Linked DNA regions of Caenorhabditis elegans. The protein of the gene in region 1 interacts with the protein of each later gene in a pairwise test. Each region holds a gene or a part of one and is shown on either strand. Other genes may lie near its edges.

Evidence for each region. The genes of interacting proteins can lie anywhere in the genome.
Region 2: the proteins of pgp-14 (region 1) and thoc-2 interact in a two-hybrid assay, tested with the Caenorhabditis elegans proteins (one large-scale study listed by BioGRID).

The regions. Positions count from the first base shown.
Region 1 is NC_003284.9:12,744,197-12,751,533, reverse strand, and holds pgp-14 (P-glycoprotein 14), read left to right. Parts: upstream 1-1,953; 5' UTR 1,954-1,978; coding exon 1,979-2,047; intron 2,048-2,100; coding exon 2,101-2,310; intron 2,311-2,570; coding exon 2,571-2,929; intron 2,930-2,981; coding exon 2,982-3,153; intron 3,154-3,200; coding exon 3,201-4,447; intron 4,448-4,496; coding exon 4,497-4,920; intron 4,921-4,971; coding exon 4,972-6,273; intron 6,274-6,326; coding exon 6,327-6,527; 3' UTR 6,528-6,811; downstream 6,812-7,337. UniProt on the Caenorhabditis elegans protein: Contributes to the establishment of a polar lipid barrier to block small molecule passage into the pharyngeal cuticle. Probably exports polar lipids into the developing pharyngeal cuticle to protect against xenobiotic insult.
Region 2 is NC_003281.10:6,366,212-6,374,056, forward strand, and holds thoc-2 (THO complex subunit 2), read left to right. Parts: upstream 1-1,830; 5' UTR 1,831-1,834; coding exon 1,835-1,930; intron 1,931-1,978; coding exon 1,979-2,110; intron 2,111-2,311; coding exon 2,312-2,403; intron 2,404-2,449; coding exon 2,450-2,669; intron 2,670-2,889; coding exon 2,890-3,072; intron 3,073-3,122; coding exon 3,123-3,275; intron 3,276-3,323; coding exon 3,324-3,828; intron 3,829-4,056; coding exon 4,057-4,458; intron 4,459-4,771; coding exon 4,772-5,591; intron 5,592-5,639; coding exon 5,640-5,748; intron 5,749-5,790; coding exon 5,791-5,929; intron 5,930-5,977; coding exon 5,978-6,837; intron 6,838-6,892; coding exon 6,893-7,273; intron 7,274-7,339; coding exon 7,340-7,561; 3' UTR 7,562-7,693; downstream 7,694-7,845. Other genes in the region: C56G2.15 (N-acetyltransferase domain-containing protein), read right to left, coding at 482-682, 883-1,120, 1,305-1,444, 1,537-1,611.

The DNA of each region.
Region 1 (7,337 bases):
TATTACAATTGCTCATCGGTTGTCTTCAATTCAAAATTCTGACGTTATTGTATATATTGAAAATGGACGGGTGCAAGAAGCTGGAAATCATAAGCAACTGATGAGCAAGAAGGGAAAATACTATGAGCTGATTCAGAAGCAAGACTTGGGAATATAAAAGTCTAGTTTAAAAATAAGTCGTTTTTTTCTTTTAACAGATATGACAACTTAGATTTTATTACAACTTGCTCATTGAAGAAATAATAAAATGATTTACATATTTTTGTAACTTAACACCGAAAGAAGCAATCAGCATCAAAGATAAAATCACTCAACACAAAATTCTGTGACCTGTACTGCGACTGATCTTTATTTTTAGCGAGAGCGATGCACCCTCACAACTAGATCACTGATTCGGTGGAATTCCCAATCAACAGAGAGCAAGGTGCCAAACCGTTGTTCTTTCTTGTCTTGTAAATCAATATTAAAACACTATTTTCGCAGTTTTTGCGACTTTCAATGTTGACATTTGCACAATGGCAGAGAAAAGATGTAGTAAATGTAGTTGGCGTAGTCCGACTGTACTTGAAGAAAAAAAGCACTTGTTGATACACAAGGGAAAATCATAATCTTTGCGCGAACACTTTCGGAAGAAAAATTTCAGGGTGGTCTGGTTAAACTTGATCGTTTGGAACGGCATTTTGACGACAAAATACAAGCAAAATGATTAGAAAAATGAACGGTTAATCCCTCTTTAATTTAAAAAAAAATGCATAGGACTGAAATAAAAAATTAAATTTTGGTCGTTAATTTCTAGAATGAGATTATATGGTATTAAAAAGCTATGAAAAGCTAGTGAAAAGCTGAGAAGAATTGTATGGTTTTAATACAATTAGAAACCGCGAGCTTGCGCAAAACTGTGAAATGTTGCAAAATATTACAAACCAATTTTTTAAAATACCCGCTGAAAATAAAAATTCTACAAATTCTTAAAGTTGAAAATCACAGAACAATTAAATACCTAAAGAAAAATAGTGAAATATTTCTCCAATATTTTTATTTAGAAAGAATATGCATTTTGTTCTACTTTTTACAATTAAAAAAAAACAAATGCTTCGCTATTATTTGGAGTTAAAATGATATCAACTTTCATGGCCACAGAAAGAACTTCATACTTTTGAGAAATGAATAGAGTCCGCAATTTCCAACACTACACCTTCTGTATACAATAGTCTTAAAACTCTGAACCTACATTACTGGGAGCTGTTTTGAAACTGTGAAAAAACAACGACTCTTAGGTTTTCCGAAAGCCGACATATTCCGCAACTTGTCACCAATTATCACTTCCATAGAGATGACAATTGGTCTAAGATTCGAAACTAGTCTACCTCATTGCCCTTGTCTCTTGTCTGTTAGCCGAATCTTCCATACTCCGATTAGTTTGCGCACAAACCACACCTCACTGCGTCTCCACGTGAACTCGGTACTTCCTCGTGGCGAACAATCCTACAGTAAGCCGCAGAGAAACATGGCCATGCCGTGTGCTCATTTCACAAGTAAAATTTTGGTACATATGCTCAGCACCTTTTTGGCAAATAAACGTCTTGTGCGACTCCTCCCACTACGAATCCTCTACCATCAGAGTGGTACTTAAGGAACGGGTGCCAAATGAGAAAGTACCATTGTTTCGAATCACACAACATTTCTTTTTTCGTTTTCTTTAGTTTAGACCCCATTTTATTTGAAACCTTCTTGTTACTGATTCATGCTTGAATTATATATATTATTACGATTTAGTACTGCATCTTATTAGTAATTCAATTCCAATATTGTTTGTTTTGCTTACTGAACGTTTGAGCACACGGCATAATTTGGCACAGAACCTTAAAATCTTTTATTTAATCTATGTAGATACCCACTTTTTTGCTCATTTTTCCAATCGCTCAATTTTTCATCATCAAACTTCTTTTTCAGAATTTCGATGTACGAATAATTAAACATGGCCCCTAAAGACGACCCCGATAATCGAGGTTTCGACGATCAGCGTCGACCCTCACAGAGGAGTACGGTAAGTCTCATCAAGCCAGCTGATCTTAAAACATATCATTACACTTGTTCCAGGTGCTAGCGATACCAGCACTGGCTGTAAACGACCCAAAGTCTGATCCAAAAATTGCGAGCGACCTACCCGCAAATTACGTAGACGATGATGATGACGCCCCAAAGATGTATACCCCTTCGCTTTTGGAAAAAATATTGAACTACGCGTTGTGTAGAGGTGATATTGCTAATCAACAACTTGAAGCTCAACCAGTGTCTATTCCTGGATTGGTAAGTTGAACTTATTTTTGATATTTGCGTGCCATGCTCTATTACCTAAATTCTTGCAATATTTGTACAAGTATCAAAAAGAAACATTCTCCCCCCGTTTGCCACAAGTGCGCGAAACACAAATACTACTAGGGCACAGTAGTTTTGTGCTTCTTGGTTTGTTTAAGAAAAGGGAGCACAAATAGGTGAGCGCCGTTTGAACACATCATTGAGATCAATGTAGTTTTAGGAATTAAAACATCAAACTTGTTTATTTGCAGTTCCGATATGGAAAGAAGTTTGATTACCTACTCCTGTTCATTGGAACCATTTGTGCAATTATCTCCGGAGTTTCACAACCTATATTGGCTCTTGTCAGTGGTCGCGTCACTAATGCCCTTCTTGTCTATCCACCAACAAGTAAACAATTCCGGAACAAAGCTAACGAAAACGTCTACATCTTCCTTGGAATTGGTATTTTCATCTCGATCACTAACTTCATTCAGTACATGTGCTTCCAACATTGCTGCACAAGAGTGATGGCTCAGATGAGACATCGATTTGTGTACTCTGTACTTAGACAAAATGCAGGATGGTTTGATAAGAACCATTCTGGAACAATCACGACCAAATTGAACGAGTAAGTTGCTTATACTCATAATTGGGCAAGACTAACTTCTCTCAATTTTCAGCAGTATGGAAAGAATTCGTGAAGGTATCGGAGATAAGCTTGGAGTGCTCCTCAGAGGATTTGCTATGCTTATCGCTGCCATCGTCGTTGCTTACATCTACGAGTGGAGACTCGCTTCAATGATGCTTGGAGTTGCTCCAACTTGTTGTATTTGCATGTCACTTCTTGCCAGAGTAAGTTGTCAGAGAGAATTACGCAGTCGTTAACATAAAGTTTTCAGCAAATGACTTCAACTACAATCAAAGAACTTATTGGAGTTGGAAAAGCTGGTTCTATCGCTGAAGAGTCTCTGATGGGAGTAAGAACGGTGCAAGCTTTCAACGGACAAGAGGAAATGGTTGGAAGATACGAAGCTGAACTTGAGAAAGGAAGAAAATTCGCCGTGTGGAAGGGATTCTGGAGTGGATTCTTTGGAGGGCTCTTCTTCTTCTGGCTCTTCTCCTTCTTGGGTTGTGGTATGCTTTACGGAGCTTACCTTCTCAAAGTCGGAATCATCACAACACCTGGAGATGTATTCATTGTAGTCATGTCTATGCTTCTCGGTGCATATTTCCTTGGTCTCATCTCTCCACATATGATGGTGCTTCTAAACGCAAGAGTGTCTGCAGCTTCTATCTATCAAACTATTGATCGTGTTCCAAAGATTGATCCATACTCAAAGGCTGGAAAACGACTTCAAAACGTGGTAGGAAGAGTGAAATTCGAAAATGTTCACTTCCGTTACCCAAGTCGCAAAGACGCAAAGATTCTTAATGGCCTCAATTTAGTTGTTGAACCAGGAACGTCTGTTGCTTTGGTAGGACACTCCGGATGTGGTAAATCTACATCCGTTGGCCTTCTCACTCGTCTCTATGAGCCAGAAGCTGGAAATGTGACCATTGATGGAACTGATGTCCGAGAGCTGAATATTGAGTGGCTCAGAAATACAGTAGGAATAGTTCAACAAGAGCCAATTCTTTTCAACGACACTATTCACAACAATTTGTTGATTGGAAACCCTGGATCTACTCGTGAAACTATGATTGAAGTCTGCAAGATGGCTAATGCTCATGATTTCATTGAGAAAATGCCAAAGGGATACGACACCTTAATTGGAGACGGTGGTGTTCAACTATCAGGAGGACAAAAGCAACGTGTTGCTATTGCTAGAACTCTTATTCGTGATCCAAAGGTCTTACTTCTCGATGAAGCCACATCTGCTCTCGATGCTCAGAGTGAAAGTATTGTACAATCAGCTTTGAATAACGCATCGAAAGGTAGAACAACCATCATGATTGCTCACAGACTATCAACAATTCGTGAAGCTGATAAGATTGTCTTCTTCGAAAAAGGTGTTATTGTTGAAGCTGGAAATCATGAAGAACTTGTGCGCCTCGGAGGAAGATACTTTGATTTAGTGAAGGCCCAACAATTCAAGGCTGATCCAGAAGCTACTGAAGAGTTTGAAGAGGAAGAAATTGATTTAGAGTAAGTTGATTCTAACAAAACTTGCAATTTGCCTATTAATAAATTTCAGTGACACTAGTAGGAGTTCACGCCGTTCTTCGATGACAAGTGCACGATCTGGCTCAGAAGCATTCAGAAGAGGAAACTCTCTCAATGACTCTTTCTCGGGATCAAAAAGATCTGCCCAAGCAGATGCTGAAAATAGCGCGTTTGCCGCTAACGAAGCTGCTATCATGGCTGAAGATGGACAGATCACAGCCGGATATCTGGACATTTTCAAGAACGCAAAAGGAAACTATTTATACATGTTCCTTGGAACTGTTTTTGCTCTAATCAGAGGTCTTGAATTGCCTGCTTTAGCACTGATTTTCGGATGGGTTTTCGAAGGTTTCACATTTGTACCTTATGGAGGAAGAATGATGCACAGAATGGCTATGGCTGTTATTGCATTTGCTTCCGTCGGTGTCGGAGTTTGGTTTTCTCAACTTGCTAGTGTAAGTTATTTCAAAAGAATATTATGCATCTCAAATTTTCAATACTTTTAGTCAGTCTTGTTTGCTGTTGTTTCGGAAAACTTATCAATGAGATTCCGCGTCCAATCATTCCGAAATCTTCTCTACCAAGATGCTTCATACTTCGATAATCCAGCTCATGCCCCAGGAAAGCTGATCACTCGGCTTGCATCTGACGCACCAAATATCAAAGCTGTCGTGGATGCTCGTATGCTTCAAGTCATTTATGCACTTGCTGCTATTATTGCAAACATTGCGATTGCGTTTATCTACTGCTGGCAAATAGGAATACTCGGAACATCTCTCATCCTCCTTCTTGCGTTTGTCATGATCGGGCTTGCTTACAAGATTTCTCTCATGAACGTCGAACAAATCCAAAATGATGATGCAGGAAGAATTGCGATTGAAATCATTGAAAATGTGAAAACTATTCAACTGCTCACAAGGTGTGAGCTTTTCTTTGATCACTACCAAACATCATCCAAGCAACAAAAGAGATCTGAACTGAAGAAGGGAATGATTGAAGCCATCAATTACAGTCTAACTCAATCTTTCATGTACTTCATGATGTGTTTTACATATGCTGTTGGTATCAGAATTATTTATCAAGGAGACAAATCTTCCGATGACACTTTCAAGGGAATCATTGCAATGATGTTGGGTGCCGTTGCAGTCATGAATTCGGCACAATACTTCCCAGAATTTGTAAAGGCTAAAACTGCAGCTGGAATGTTGTTCAACATTATCTACAGAAAACCTAGAACAGGAGACTTAATGGAAGGAGATCGCCCTGAAATTAGAGGAAACATTCTCTTTGAAAATGTCAAATTCTCGTATCCACAACGACCATTGCAACCAATTATGAAAGGACTTCAATGGACAGCACTTCGCGGACAAACTGTTGCTCTTGTCGGGCCATCCGGATCCGGTAAAAGTACGAACATTGGTATGCTCGAACGATTCTACGATGTTACTGGCGGAGCACTTCGAATTGATGGACAAGACATTCGAAAATTGTCACTGTTCCATCTCAGAACACAAATGGCGCTGGTCGGCCAAGAGCCTCGTCTTTTCGCAGGAACCATCCGCGAGAACGTGTGCCTTGGGTTGAAGGATGTGCCACTTGAAAAGATCAATCAAGCCTTAGAACTTGCCAATGCTAACAGATTCCTTGCCAACTTGCCAGCCGGAATTGACACAGATGTAGGAGAAAAAGGAGGACAATTGTCGGGAGGTCAGAAACAGAGAATTGCAATTGCCAGAGCTTTGGTCCGAGACCCCAAAATTCTGCTTCTGGATGAAGCCACGTCAGCTTTGGATTCGGAATCCGAAAGGGTATGTTGAAAATGAAACGCTATCTCTTAATAATTATGATCGTTTTCTTTCAGGCTGTACAAGAGGCATTAGATCGTGCCCGAGAAGGTCGTACGTGTATCACAATTGCCCATCGTTTGTCGTCCATTCAGAACTCTGACCTTATTGTGTACATCGATAAGGGCAAGGTGCAGGAAGCTGGCAACCACACGCAGTTGATGCATCAAAAGGGCAGATACTACAAGCTCATCAAGAAACAAGATCTTGCTGTTTAACTCTGCAAATTGCCTTTCAATTCCGAATTATCCTGTAAATTTTGATCACTTCCACACTCTTACCAGTAATTACTTGTTCCCTTTGAAACTGTTTTTATTGTGACTTTTCATTGCTTTGTTTTCACATTTCTCAAAAAATTTTTCCGTCATTTAGAAAACTGTTCCCACGTTGTTTTGAAGCAGTTTTTCTATTAACCGGGTCTGTTCACATTGCTACTTTTATTTTCAGTAGGTACTCATTAGCTAGTCGCTTTTTCAATTTTCGAATAAAAAAATGTAAGAATTGAAAGTGCACTGTGTTATTTACAACAGAAGAAAATTACAGTTGGCGCAATTAGCTCCCACACACACACACTTATGGGGTTGTTTATTACGGGACCATGAGATCATGAGAATGCCTACTTTTCATGGTCCCGTAATATGTGATGTTGAAATTTACAAAAATGTATTTTAATACATTTTCCCCTAGTCATGTCTGTAGAAAAATGTAAAAAATACATCGATTTTTCTATTTTTCTACATTTTTCGACACATTTTCTGTATTTTTCGACATCGGCTGCCAAGTTGGCAGTGTCAACCCACTTCTCATGCTGAAAGGCGCAAAGAGAAGTGTCCTCGCAGGGTGGTACAAAAAAGTCAACAAATGCGATCTAGAAAATTAGGCAAAATTCGAGATTTCAGCTAAAATCGGTATAATTTTTTCAAAATTTTGACCCGTCATGAAAAATTTTTGAGAAGCTTCATTACGAAAAAAAAAACGCTCATTTGAGCTCATTTTGGGTCTATGTGTTCAAAATCGTCCGAACCGTT
Region 2 (7,845 bases), on another chromosome or scaffold:
CTACTGTTGTTTTCCCAATCTGAACCGTTTTCGCAATAGGCGACCCATTATTTTTTCTATCAACTCGTTTTTATTTTTGTTAGCTTCATCATCGTTTTTATCCACTATCTCCCATGCCTCCTCTCCCCACAACAAACACAGATCGTCTAGTAGCCTTTCTTCTCTCATTTAGGTAATTTCTTTTTATTCTTTTTTGGTTTTGAGCCCCATTTCCCTTTGAGCCCCGTCAGACCATTTTACCAGGTTCTTCTACCTTTCATATCCCCTCATCTCCACCTATCACCCCCATCTCTATCCCATTTTTTATTTCTTTTTTTCTGTAATTCCCCCTTCACTCGTTGTTGTTTTTAAGAAAACACACCCACGCCCTCTCATTCAATTATTTTATTCTTGTAATTCTTAAAATTACTTTACATTATGCGGAAAATCAATAAAAAGTAGAAATTCTTATTTCATATTTGCGTATTCTTTTCTCAATATATTATTCAGTTGGTTTTAACCATTTTCTCATGTACTGGTGATCAATCGTGTTGACGTCCACAATCGGGGACGTGGATCTGGTGACCATTTTTGGAGCCATCGGAGGCGGTGGTGGTGGTGGTGGAGCAGAAGCTGAGACTGTTGACGAGGCTGAAGGCTGTGCGATCTTTGATAGGAAGGACGGGTTGGATGCGGCCGCGTTCTGAAATTAACATGATATAAATTATAGAAAAATCTGAATAATTGTGCATTTTCTACTAAGGAATTCAATTTTTCTAGACTGAATCTGAAGATGGATCTCCAAAATTTCCGAACTAAATCAGATTGATCTGAGTATAGTTTTGTGAATTTTCAAGAAACATGATTTTTTAGTATTTCTGAAAACTTCAAAAGCCTATTTACCTGAAAATGATTCATGGCTGGAAAGATGCAAGTGGCTGTTGTCGAGTGTACAATCGGATCGCATTTCTCATAACCAAGAGATTCATAAAATCGACATTGATCATCAGTTGAGAGATATGCTTCATTGAAACCTTTTTCCGTCATCCATTTTTCTGTGGATTTCATTAAGAATTTCCCGAGTCCAAGGCCACGTTGATCCTTCTTGATCATCACTGACTCAATCCATAAGGCATGGTCACTGAAAATTAACAAATTTTGGGAGAATGGTTTGAGAATTATGATAGCTTCCTTTATTTTCAGGCTAAAATTTTTTAACTTTTTAAATATTTTTTCCTGAAATTTTAGTGAGTTATCAAATTTTCTAATTGTTGAAATATAATCCGAAAGTTTCAAATTTTTATTGTTTTATTCCAATTACTCACCGATTTGGAAGATGTGTGATTCTTGAGTGGCCTAGTATCTCGTCATTCTCCTTATTGAGCAACAAAAACGACATTGGAGGGGACTGACGGCATGATTTTTTCTGTGAATGCTCACGAGATCCATCGCTTCTGGGCCATTCCTGGAATTAGAAAAGTTCAAAATTATGAATATAGCTATTTATTTTACCAAAGAAAAAATACATTTAGAAAACCACTCTAGAATACAACTCACCGAATTCAAAAATGTCATACTCTCCTTCAAAAGATCCTGCCTATCATAAAGCGTAACAAAAAATAAGTCCGGCATCCTAATACCCGATAATTGGTTATGTTTCTGAGCTCAGATGCCCTCATCACACTCGATGGCCTAGAAATCTCAACTCTAGATTTCCCGTCCACGCGTTCTCACTCTTGTTTGCCTCGGCTGGCAAAGTGCCAACTCGCTTTAAAAAGTTTAATTTTTGAAATCTCATATTTCCTTTTAATGTTCTTTTTTTAGTTTCTGATTGAATTATTATAATTACAGAGAAATGAACGATTTCGAAACATTAACCCAGTTATGTCTCGATATTGTTCACATGAAAATCACACCGATGAAGGCTTATGAAAGGATACTCACAGAGAAGGTTTCGTTCATTTAAAATCTTGAACAAATTAGAAATCATTAATTTCAGAAAGATCGAGATGCCATCAGTTCGGAGCTGATCGACGTGTTAGTGCTCACCGAGCCGGAGAGCGAGTTCGCTGACAACGCGAGCACTTCCAAAGAGAATTTTGAATCCTTTGTGAATCTACTCACTAACACGGTAATAAAACTTTCAACTTTTAAAGCTCAAGGTTCAAAAAAGGCTTATTTATATGGAAGATAGTATTATTGGCGGAAAATAAAATTAACCTGTAGTTTCAGGATTGAAAAAAACTAATATTCTAACTTAATCCAAAATTGTTTAACAAAGAAATGAGATTTTAACTGGAAATTTCCTGTAAAAATACCAAATTTTTTTCAGATAATCCCCGAAGAAATCCTCCGCCTCGAGCTGGATTGTTTCAAAAAAGATGATCACAGCAAGGCACTAATTAGGTTGAAAACAAAAGTCTAGTAAGTTAAATTCATTCAATTTCTGCAAAAACTCATTTTTCTTCAGTTTCAAACAGGCCAAATTCAACTTATTTCGAGAAGAGTCTGAAGGTTACTCAAAACTTGTCACAGAGCTTATGGAAGCAGCCGAGAGCTCAGCGAATGAGAATGAACATGCGAAGATTCTGAAGCATCGAGTACTTTCATTAATTGGACAGTTCAATTTGGATCCAAATCGTGTCACTGACGTTATATTGGAAGTTTTCGAGAATTTCCCGAGGCAGAAGGTAAAATAAAGAATCTGCATAAATTCATGATGTTTTGGTGGTCAACCATGATGTGGGCGGAGCTTATTTGAAAGTTCAACAATAGAGAAAAATTGGAATTTATAACTTTTCCGTTTATCCTTTACAAATAAAACAATTGGAAATTCAAATGATGAGATTAAGAAATCTTGAAACGAATCCAGCTCATTTGTATTTTAAAAATATTTATTTTTAATTTCAGCTCCTTTTCATTGCACTTCTCAAAGAAATTGACGTGGTCCGTGACTATCTGTGTGCACTTCTGGGCTTCAAATTCACATTCTATCAATCGGATAAAAAGAAGAAAACGCCATATTCGTTGTACGTTCTGACAGCTTCGCTCATTCAACATGAAATGATCGATATGATGAAGATTTTAGGATATGTGAGGAGTCCCGTTTTAAATTATTCGAAATTATTAATTAATATTTATAGATGATTCCAAAAGCCGAAGCAATTAAAGAAGGGCACCGTTCAAGAATGCAGAATGCACAAGAAAGAGCATCAAAAGCAGAAACAATTTCTACAGCTTCAATGCCAATTATGGATTCAAGAGGTTTCGATGAAAATGGAATAGGTGGAAATGCGGTTAGGTCGGAAAATTGAATATTTATCTAATTTTTAAAAACATTTCAGACAACGCAAACGATTTCCTTCACTACAGTAATCCAACTTCAAGAAGACGAGGATATAAAATTATCTGAAGGGTTTAATGAGGAATATGTTCTCTCATCAAATCAGAAGCTTGGTTTAACGTGTGCATTATTAGAAAGTGGAAACTGGAAACAAGCTCAAATGCTCATTGATCGTCTCCCAGAATACTATGCAGTTCAAGCTAGTCCACGACTCTGTAGAGCTCTTTGCAAAATAATTGAGAAATCAATTAACGATTTTTACAAGAAAAATTGTTCGCTGAACTTGTTTGGAGATTTGATAAAATCGACGAAACCAGTGTTAGATGATATGGGAAATGGATTAAGACCAATCGAAAGTTGGGAAGATCTTGGAAAATTGTCAAGTGTACTTGCCTATTTGGGACCTAGAATAGCCTTTCGTGCTTCAACAAATATCAAAATTGTTCGACTTTTGACTGCCTACTACCGAAAAGTTGACAAGGATCTGCTACCGAAGGATGATAAACGTAGGTTTTTTTCAAATGTGAAATTTTGCGATTTTCGCCCCGATATTAAGGTTAACAAAACATTTTGAAAAAACGATAAAAACTAGGAAAAATTAGTTCGTATCTACAGAACTCCTTGTACTTTTGTACTTTTTTAAAATTTATGTAAATCTGTCACTTCGAGATCGAGCACCGTATTTTTGAAGAAAAAAAAACAACCATTTTCAAAATTAAATATCATTATTTCAGTAAATCAAAATTTCGTGGAAGTCGTCTCCGAATGTCTTCTACCATCTCTCACACTGTCCGAAACAAATGTTGCACTTAGTGAAGAGATTTGGCAGCTCCTTGAGCTTTTCCCGTATTCTTGGAGATATTGGATGTATTCAAAATGGAATCTTGAAACTTCAAGACATCCAGAAATGCATATAATGAAGGGGAAAATTCATGGACGAACAAAATATGTTCTGAAGCGTCTTTCGAAGGAAACTGTAAAGATGATGGGCAGACAATTGGGAAAATTGTGTCATATACATCCATCTACAGTACTCTCATATCTCCTCAGTCAAGTGCAAACTTTTGATAATTTCATTGGACCTGTTGTGGATAGTTTGAGATATTTGACAAGTCTTGAATTTGATGTTCTCACTTGTAAGTTTTCAAACAAAATTTAAAACAATTTTTTTTAGAAAACGAGAAAAAACGTCCAAAAAATTATTTTGTTAAAACCACGAAAACTGAAAGGTTTTGTAAATTTCGAACGTTTTTTTTTGAGAAATTTTAAGATTTTAACATATAAATTCATAAAAAAATTTTATGGAAAAATTGATACATTTTAAATTTTTGAGTCTTTCAGTTAGCTATGTGAAAAAATTCTCGTTTTTTTCATTCACTTGTAAACAAGTCAAACTTTTTCAAATCTATTTTAAATATTTCTCATTTGAAGGTTTTCCATTTATTCCAGATTGCATCATCTCCCAATTGGCTGATCCATCGAAACAAGCTCTCAAATCCACTGATGCTACCATCTCTCCTTGGCTGCAAGCTCTTGGAACACTGGTTGGATCTCTCTATCGAAGATATCCACTCGAACTGAACGGAATGCTAGACTATGTGCTAAATCAATTGAAACTTTGCAAAAGTTACGATATGCTTCTTCTTCGAGAAATTATCCAGAATATGTCATGGATCGAGAGTATCAGTGGAGCAACGAAAGAACAAATTGAAGCACTTGGAGGTGGAGACTTGTTGAAACAGGAAGCTGGTGGATATTCAACGGCAACAAAGAATAGAAAAGCTGCTCAACGTCTACGTGATGCACTTCTGAAAGGAGATTTGGCTGTTGGATTGGCAATTTCAGTTGCTCAACAAAAAGAGCATATTGTCTACAATGAAAGCTCTACTCTTCCATTGAAACTTGTTGGAAAAATGGTTGATCAGTGTAGTGACACATTTCAACAACTCGTTTCATTTTTGAGTGTTTATCTGAAAAATGATGATTTTTCGAAACGAGTTCCAACTGTTCGTGAATTGTTATCTGATTATTCACTTGGAATGGAAGCCACAATGTGTCTGGCGAGACCTATTTTCTTCTCAAGAATATCAGATCACTATGATGCGGCTAAAAAAATCTCGAAAGCTGCTGTTGAAGATGGACAAAAGACTCGTTTGGATACACAGCAAAAGACTGAAATGTTTACAAGTGCGTTGGAATCACAAGTGGAAATGTTAATGGATGAGCTGAAAGCATCTGAACCTGGCATGGAGGAGAATATACCTGTGAAGTGAGTTTTTATCAAATTTTCGCCCAGTTTGCTAAATTTTTCTTTCAGATTCTTCGCTGTTTTCTGGATGCTGACAATGTATGATATCGAAGTTCCGACAGCTGCATATGAACGGACACTTGATGCTTTAAAGAAACAGTCAAGAGAAGACAGTCATGTTAGTTTTCATCTATAAATAATCTACTATTTTTTATTTCAGGGAAAAGCTAAGAAAACTGATAAACAGTTGGAGAGTAAGCTTCGAGAAGAGCAGAAGAGGCAAATTGAGCACGTGGAACGTTGTAAAGTATGGCTTCTGAACAAGAAAGACTCGTTGATTGATGAGCAATTCCATAATTGTAAGTTTATGCATGAAATCCGCTTTAATACTTTTCCAATATTTCCAGCTGTATTGGAAGCTCTCATTCAACAATGCCTCCTGCCACGTGCCATATTCTCCGAACTTGATGCAGTGTTCTGTGGTCAATTCTTCATGATGCTTCACGAAATGCGGACTCCATTCTTCCCATCGGTTCTGATCATTGACAGACTCTTCGAGAACATAATTCCTCTGATCGCGGGGCTCACCGAGAACGAAGCCAACTCGCTGGCATGCTTCTTTGAAATTCTGCTCTGCACTGTTCAAAGATGGCACTCGGAGAAAGAAGTTTTCGAGAAGGAATGTGCAGGATTTCCAGGAATGATCACAAAACAAGCAATTGAATATCAAACTTTCCGAAAGTTATGCTATAGATGGCAAATTCGATTTACTGCCATGTTTAAGACAGTCTTCACAAAAGATGATGCTGACTATGTACTTATCAGAAATTCATTGATTATGATGACAAAGTTGACATCTGGATTTCCAGTCATATCACATGCAGTCGCCACAATGGAAACAGCTGTAACCAAGTTGAAGGATCGAGAGAAGGGAAAACGTGACGATCTATCATTAAAAGCAGCCTCGTATGTTGGAAAGCTCAAGATGAGAACTGTGAAGATTTATGCTCAAAATTCGGATTACGCCCCAGTTCCCAACAAGAAGGTGTCGGTCGGTGCTGAAAAACCAAAGAAAAAAGAAAAAGTGGTAGATGAGAAAGATAAAGCTGATGGGGAACCAGTTGATAAGAAGATTAAAGTAGATTCGAAGAAAAATGGGACGACGAGTTCGGAGAAAGTGGTGAAAGATGATGAAGTACATCAGAATGGAAGTGAAACAGAGAAGAAAGCTACAGTAGATAACAAAGAGAGAAAGAAGCGACCTGGAGTGAGTACATAAATTATTAAAATTCACAGAACTGAACTAACTATTATAATTTTAGAAATCATCCCACGGATCAAAAGAATCAAAGAAAGAGCCAACAACTGAAGATGGTGAAGTGAAGACTCCAAGTCCCCCTCCTGCAAAGAAGACTCGAATTGTTGATCGCTTAAAACGGTCTGATGAACCTTCAAAGAAAGATGAGAAAGAATCTCCGAAGGACACAGAATCTGAAAAAGGAGAAGGTAAGAAAAGAAGAGAACGATCGAAAGACAAAGAAACAGGAAAAGAGAAACGGTTGGAGAAGGATAATAAGGAACGAGAAAAGGATAAGGAAAGGAAGCGAGAAAATGGAGAAAACCAGAAAGAACAAAAGATTCTCAAAGATCAGAAGCAAAAAAGCAAGCCGTCCGATGAGAAGCTTGAAGTGGCAGGACCCGCGGTAAGATATTAACGTTTTCTCAAGCTATTTTCAAAATTTTCCTTTCGAAAATGTGATTTATTTCAGCTTCCCGACCCAGTTCCCAAGAAAGATGACAAGAAAGGCTCTCGAAAAGCGATTGAGTTTGATCTAGAGGAGCCTTCAAAATCAACATCGTCCTCTCGAAAAGATCGCAAAGATGATCGAAAAGAAAAAAAAGAAGAACTTCCAAAGGCATCAAGAATAGCAGAGCCTGCACGTGATGCTGGAAAGAGTGGAAGAGATCGTGGGCATCGAACATTTAGATGAGCTCTCACCACATATCCCCAGATTTTCATTATTGTATCTCAGTTTATGTTGTCTACGAGGTTTTCTATTGTATCCTGATGGATTATTAAATATTCGTTTTATTTTTTGTTAGCATTAAATCTAAAGACATTGGATCGTTGAACTTCTTGGAATGTGAAAGCAATGGAAGTATTTCGAATATAGAATGCTTGCTCGAAGAGTCAATCCAAAAGTCGAAGATCAAGTGCTAAATGTGAGCAAAAGACAACGTCAAATTTCCGAACGACTTCCAATCTATGGGAACA